Linked DNA regions of Drosophila melanogaster. The protein of the gene in region 1 interacts with the protein of each later gene in a pairwise test. Each region holds a gene or a part of one and is shown on either strand. Other genes may lie near its edges.

Region 1 (4,934 bases):
GCTCCGCTGGTTCCGCACTTGTTCACCGCTGACATTCGAATCTACAAATGAGCTGGCTGCGCTTTAACCAAGTCTCAATGAGCTCCGAATCTCGAGACCCTCCAATAAAAAGTTTGGGGGGGAACTCCAACAACGTTAACAAAAATCCGGCTATGTGTGAAAATGTGCAGTGGCAGCAAGTTTTTTGTCTTTCTGACTGGCCCATTGCCGAGATTTATGTTTATGTAACTACCAAAAGACACAATAGCGAAAACAAGATCGCCGGACAAAAGTTAAAAATGTCGGTGAAGAAAATTTAAACAAACTGCTTGTTAATTGTCTATTAAAATGTGTTATCCAAACACTAGCACTGCTGCTTACTAAATCTCCGCCATCCCCCCCAAAACCCACTGCCGATCCGGTTCCATATCATCACATCATCAGCAATTAACCGTCCCAAGTCGAGCCCATTTGGCAAAATACTTCATGTGTCTAACCATTAACGGCTCCATTAGACAGACGTCTGCGACAAAAGCGTTGGAAAATTTGAAAGTCAAAGTCGATTTGGTAACCGCGGAAGTGAAGCTCCGCCTGGGATGCCATAGATTGGGATCGCGTTGGATTGAGTGCATCGGTTTCATCAGCCATTTCCATTTCCATTTCCATTCACGATCAGTTTCAGTTTCAGGGTCACGCTGCATTTTTATGCTCTTACCCTATATTTTTTTATAATCGGTACTAGTTGGGTTCAAGGGTATGCCGTGTTTTCGTGTTGTTCCGCACGCGTAACGAAAGCCCAATAAGAAAATGCTGAATGTTTAATAAAGGAAATATGTAATATAGTTTATACAGTTTATAGTTTAGCTTCTGTGTAATAGTATCCAATATATATTACAGGCAAGCTGTAAATGATGATGATACAAAAGTCTTAGTATAAGTATGAAGTAATACATTTTACAGCATAAGATGGAATCATGTTTTTTTCTAATATTTATACGTACTTTGTATCTGGCATTTTATGCAGACTTTCTCAGACCGGGCATACTTTTCGAGCGACCCACGCACTCCAGCTGTTCGCGTTCCTTGCTCCGCCGCAGCGCGGAACCCAACCCACAAACGACCTTCCCTGCTAGTGTCCACTTCGGTGGGTGGGCGGAGGTCATCCGTTGGGAGCGGGGGCGTGGGGTTCTCGAGCATGGCGTTGGGGTTCAAAGTGTTTGGCAAAGTATTTGGCGCGCTCTAAGCGGCTCATAAATAAATGCGAAAACAAAATCGTTTTTGCAGACGCAACGCATTTAAGGGGTTTTCGGGACGGGTGGCAAGTATCCACTATAGATATAGGGGTTCCGAAACTACACAGACAGCGAGAATCCTATGCAGATACAGCGAACTCATGGGCAACGGGTGACTCGGGCATGGAGTAGCAACTTCCCCCCTCTCCCATCACCCTGCCAGCTTTGGGTTTTCGAGTGCGCCGGCGCTGGAACGACATCGAACTCTAGGAATAGAAGCGTATGGCCACCCCAGCCCCATTTTAATGGCGACGCTGGGGCGATAAGATAATGGCCACTGCCTGCGCATGCCTGGAAGTTCTTGTTGCTTTTGGACTCTATCGTCGGCCGATTTCCAGCGATTTTCAATATAAAGGGGCGGTGCCTGTTTTCCAGTGGAGACCCCGCATTTTTGGTGACCGCGCGCCGCGTATTGACTTGGACCTTTGAGTTAAGTTTCTCATATTTGTTTCGCCTCAGTCGACGTCGCTGCTGACTTTTAAGTGCTGTTTACTGTTGTTTTGGGGCCAACGAAGGTGTCGCGCTCGACGTTGGTTGGCTTTTTGTTCTACCCACTGTGCTGTTTTCCTTTTTTCATTTTTTTTTTGCCCCTGCACTTTTGCAGCTCAAGCTTCTTGAGGCAGAGGGAAACAAAAAAAAGTTTCCACACCTTCTTTTTTCGACGAGGCTAAAGTTTTTGCGTTTTACAAATATTGTAATGCTCTTGGAATTTGGACTTTTCGGGCAAATGGGCATCGCCAGAGAGCGACACACACATGCGCACGGCCTCCAAAAAGAAGCACAAAAATGTTGTCGCTGCTGGCGTTGTCGCCTCGCCGCCTTGTTGCCATTGTTGTCCTGCCATTCAGGGCTGGCTGTATGCATTTTACCATATCATTTGTGTCACATTAGGATCAATTGGTAAACACACGCCCGCACACCCGCACACACCCACAGATAGTACGTATACGCACGGCGTACCCATGTGGGCGGCCAAAAGGCAAACGGCAAACGGCACACGAATACAAGACGAAAGGCAAAAAACAAAAAAAAAAAAAAAAAAAAACAACAGCGTTAAAAGCTCGCACAGTCGAGAAAAAGCGTGAAAAAGTGCGCAAAGTAAAAAGGAGAGACGACAGTTTGGACGGCCAAGAAAATAAATAAAGATGCAGCGCGGCAAATAGAGGGGATTCCCACCAGCAACAATACCAGCCGCCTGCCAGTGTTGCCGCGTCCAGGGTTGCCGCCGTACCGTTACCGACACCGTTACCGTTTCCAGACCGTTACCTTACCGTTGGGCAAACACCGTTAGCCATGCCGCCGCCATTTTGTCGCACTGGCTTCGCATTTGCCGTCGTCGTTTTCGCTGCCGAATCCGTTACCGTTACCGTTAAAGTTGCCGATGCCGTCGCCAAAATGGCGTTCGCATAAAATCGCGTTCAAGTGCCGCAGAAAATTCAAACGAAATAATACGAAATGTTGAAATAAGAAAATTAAAAACCAGCCAATAATTAACAAAGTTAACAAATACTAGAGTTGAGTGTTAAAGTGACGCAAAAAATTTTAATAGGGTAAATGCAAATCATTTCCACTGGTTTTACGATTCCGTCGCATAACGAAAGGCTCAATAAAAAGGCTAAAATTCTGAGGAACTATTGAAAAGAAAGCCAGCTTGATTAAAAAATGGAATGTTACATTTTAACAGTAGATCCTTAAAACAAAAAAGTCTATTGAGCAAATTGTGTTGAGAAGAGTTACAAAACCAAGATACGTTTAGGATTTTAAAATGTTTAGTATATGAATTTTAATACTAACACGATTGGATTTTGTTTGTTTTAAGATTTAAGGCAATCAAAATAAGATTAATGTGCGATTTCCAACTCCCGATGTTAGCCATTTTAATTTCAATTTAATCTTAGGAGCTTTGCTCCTAAAATTAAATTTCTATAAAATAAATTTCATAGTATTTTGTTTCATTTATATATGATCTTCAATCTTAACTAGTTTCCAAATACTGAAGAACTATTAAATGGAAATTTCCGATTAATTATTCTACGTTTTAATATTTCACAAAAAATAAATTGTTTACCTATTTTGTTTGTTTGAATTTCTATAAAATAAATTATCTTCAATCTTAACTAGTTTTCAAATACTGATAAACTATTAAATGGATATTTGCTATCAAATATTCTACGTTATAATATTTCACAAAAATTTTTTTTAACTATTTTGTTTGATTTGGGAACCATTAGCAGTTCGTTTTTGATAAAAAAACCTTGGACATTGACCGTTTTTTGATAGATAGTATAGTGCACATCCGATTTGTTGTCTTCGCACGAGAATTCTCCTCGTGATAGACGATGAATAGATATGCGCCAAACGGTCTTTTGAATATCTACCGATCAGTTTGGCCCTATCCTCGGCTTACATAAAGTTTACCCGCCTTGCACTTGGTCGAAAGCACCCGAACAATAGATGGTCTAGTGTGCCCCGGTATCGCAAACAAATTCAAATTGTTCAAGTCCCTGGCTACTTCAACTGATAGAGCAGCCGAGCACTGAGCACGAGCCCAACCGAGTGGCAAGACTGGAATCTAGATTCTACCGTAGAAACCGAAACCCAAAGAGACCGCCGCGATAAGGGAAAAACAGTCAACCGGGCCACTGTTGGGCACAAACCAATGCCAGTTATCGAGCAGACAGCGATCCCGCCTAGCGGAGTCTCGTTTAGACGCTAAACGGGAAACGAGTGCGGTAAACTAACACAAAGATTGCTTTTTAAACACCAAACAGGGCTAAAGATACAAACGTGTGCCAATTGGAATAAGCTAACTGAAATATACATATAACTCATACGACGCGTGTTCAAATCGCCGGCCCCTCAGCAATGATGCAAACCCTGAAACCACCGCCACCGCTACATCATCACCACCAGCATCAGCACCAGCTCCAGCATCCGCCTCAGCAGCAGCCACATCCGCATCAGCAGCTGCAACATCCGTTGCAGCAGCAACAGCACCTGTCAGCCATGGATAATCACCAGCAACATCAGCCGCATATCCATCAGCAGCAGCAGCAGCAGCAACAATTGCCACCCACGCCGCAGGCATCTCACCTGGTCGGTGGGCAGCAACAGCAGCAGCAACATCCGCACCACAATCACCTGGCTGTCGACCAGGATGACCCAAATCCCGAACTGGTGCTCGCCTTAATTTCCAGGAACCGGGCGCTCGAGGGTAAGTGGCCAAGTCATGCCATCTTTGATTCAGTCCTGTCCATCTGAAGGCTGCCTAGGAGATTTTCCTGCACAGTGAACAAAAATGTTTGCCAAGAATAGTATATTATTAAAATGTTTGGTTTTCAAACTTAGATTACATTTTTGAATTTTATTTATCAATTTATCAATTTTTGAAATGAAAGAGAGAATAGTCGTATTTACATTAAAAAATATCGTGGTTTCTTAATTTTGCTTTAGTAAATATTGAGAATACAGTTTTCATGTTAAAACCGTATATTTCACTTCTGCTGTAAGTTAACCCTTTGAATACACTTTGCCCATGTGTTGGCCGCGCCTTAATTATGCAAAGTTTTTGTTTGCGCTCGCCCTTTGTTTTTATGAGCGACCAGAAAGGTCTTGTGATGAAGATGAGTTGGGGTTATGAGGTCGGTCTTTTAGGGTCACATA
Region 2 (2,947 bases), on another chromosome or scaffold:
CTTTAAACAGAAACTGAAACTTCAAAATCCAAGAAATATGTTGCAACTATGAAAATCAGCTAATCTATAAAGATGATATCAAGACCACAAGGAAATAACTTAATAACAATAATACATATTTTTTGGTATGACCACTTTATGTATATATATATATTTATATACAAAATTGATCTTTAAAGAAACCCCCTTTGTTGATATCAGTGATTAAGTGCAGTTGAATTTTCCCTGTTAGCCTTGCTTATCTGGTGTTTATCCGTTCTGCAAGATCACTCAATTTCTCACAATTTCTCTCTTAGCTGCTGGTGGCTCTCTTTCTCCCACTTCACGCAGTTTGCCTTCGGAGAAGCTGAGTTTTGTTTACCGACTTGCTGTTGTTGTTGTTGTTGCTGCTGTCGCAATTGAAGCGCAGTTTCTGGCAGCAACAGCATGAGCTATAGTATCTATAGATATACCGATACCTATACTTATGCCTACATGTACATACAAACATATATACCCGTTCGTTCGTAGCTCCAACGGCGAGGCATGCGAAGTCCCTTCAAGCGTTTCAACGTACTTTTTTTTTTGCTGCGCTTCGGTTTGTTTGATTTGGCTTGCTCACCTTCGGCTCGACGGCAACAACAACAACAGCAGCAGCAGCAACAACAACAGTATCGAACGGACGTCGACGGAGGCAGCGACGGAACTGCGAATTCGATGGAGACGTCGGTGGCGGTCTCAACCTGAAATCCAACCTGAAACTCGAAACGAACCCGAGGCTCGTGCTGTGTTTCATTTGAATGGGCACACGACGAACGGAGTTCGAGTTGGATTGGCCACAGTGTGCCGGCCAAATTGGAAGCCTTTGGTTCCACTTTGCGAAAACTTTTAAATTCGCTTAACCAAATTGACAGCTTTAGGGCCATTTCAACATACGTACACGTTTGGTTTCTTAAAATGTAGATGGTAAAGGGGGAAAATCTTTTCGGTTGCACGCTAACGTCAGGGTGGAAGAATGAAAAGCAGTTAATTTCTAGAGAATATATCGTATCGTTAATATTTAATAGTCTTCCTTACAAACCTTAGACATAATTGTGAAAAAGTATAATTTATGTAGTCATCGGGAAACCAATTTCTGGAAGCTGTCGGACGAGTACTTGTAACTGTAGTCATTTATCACAGGCATCTTTTGCAAATACCTTGGCTCAAAGGACCTCATTTCCCCATGCTCTCCCTTTTGGTCTCTTTCTGTCTACCCATCCCGCTTGCACTTGATCCTGTGCCTAGGCCATAAATATCGTATTAAATATTTGCCTTAGTATCGCCTGCGATGTCGGCGTTTCGCGTTTGCATTAACGCCGAATGTTGTCTGTTTATCTCGCTAGTTATTGTTCGCGCTGCCCATAGGTGGTGTTTTGCCATTTTCGAGGGGGGTGTTCATGTGTCCATGGGCCATAGGGGAAGGGGAAGGGGGAAGGGGGAAGGAAGGAGGCTTGCTGGCAAGAGGAACAAGGGGGGGGGAGGGTTTCGGCTCTGGTTTGGTGGTTGCAAACTTTTGTGGCATTGCCAGTTGATTGGATTGCCATGAGATGAACTTGGCGTCGCATGTGAATGTGTGCGTGTGTGCGAATGAGTGTGGCAAGTGATTTATGAGTCCCCAGTGCTGATATGGGATACGCTATACGCTATGGATATACAATAGATACAATGTCATTAGCGCTCTCGCCGATACACTGCTCCTTTTTCCAACGTAAACTCCCTATTTCTTTCGTCGATTTTAATTTAAGCACATAATGGCGATATCATTGACACCCAGTAGTTTAACATTTAATTTTAGCAAGTTTTGCTTGTGTTAACATTATTTGGGTTTCACTGTGCTGCAGAGCGCACATTCCGAAAGGAAACACTTAACTGCTTAAGGGAATCTAGGAGCTTGCGACATTCCTGTAACGAACACTGACAAAAATCAACTAAATTTCAACAAGTGGAGTTTCTGTTTCTATCTCTCTCTCGATCGACAATAAGTTGGAGTTATTTCTAGAAAAAACGAAGCATATTGAAGATGATGCAGCCAGCGGAACAGATCTTCTCCTGCGGATTCGAACTCTTCGGGCGAGTACAGGGTGTGTGTTTGCGGAAGCAGACACGAGATCTGGCCACAATGAACCAGGTGCGCGGGTGGGTGATGAACACGGACGAGGGCACGGTGAAGGGACAGCTGGAGGGCACACTGCCCAAGGTCAACGTGCTGAAGTTCTGGCTACTGAATATCGGCAGTCCGCGCTCGATTATCGAGCGGGCGGAATTCACGCCCACCAAGGAGATCACTTCGCACAACTTTAGCCGATTCTCGATTCGCTACCACAATGTGGCAGCAACGAAAAAGGCCATTTAATAAAGAATTTAGACTTGTAGTCTACTACCGAAAATTGGAACTGTGTATTTGCTGTAACTATTTGTTTGGACCTTTAAATTGAGCTGCCTACGAATGGAGCCCAGTTGTGCTTCTGCGAGCATCATTTATAAACCTCTAAAATGAAAAACAGGCTGCTGCCAGCCACTAATTAAGCCGCACAAAGAAATGCTCAGCGCAATTACATGGAGGCTGGCACATCCACTATGTACTTATTTTAATATATGTATCTACAAAGTAAATATATGTACATATGTATATATATATATATGTGAGATGACTTGGTTAGACAGACACCTGCAGCTTCAGCTTCAGCTTCAGTTTTAGCCTCGGCTTGGCCACATTTCCAGTTGAGCGACGCCCCAAACTGGCAATGAGTTTTTACGGCACACAAACAGCAGCCAACAGGCAACAGACAATACTGGCTATAAGGAAAATCTAGAATAACAACAGAGAGCCACAAATATTTATCGCAGTGCGCTGAACAAGAACAGATTGACTATTTGATTGAAGGTGAAAATCTAGTAAGTCGTGACTTCTCAAGGCGGAAGGAAA

The links.
Region 2: the proteins of Lim3 (region 1) and CG18371 interact in a two-hybrid assay, tested with the Drosophila melanogaster proteins (2 studies listed by BioGRID).

The regions. Positions count from the first base shown.
Region 1 is NT_033779.5:19,105,274-19,110,207, reverse strand, and holds the start of Lim3 (Lim3), read left to right. Parts: upstream 1-1,780; 5' UTR 1,781-2,821; intron 2,822-3,932; exon of another isoform or gene 3,933-4,042; 5' UTR 4,043-4,136; coding exon 4,137-4,485; intron 4,486-4,934.
Region 2 is NT_033778.4:14,026,693-14,029,639, forward strand, and holds CG18371 (uncharacterized protein), read left to right. Parts: upstream 1-1,927; 5' UTR 1,928-2,041; coding exon 2,042-2,374; 3' UTR 2,375-2,404; downstream 2,405-2,947.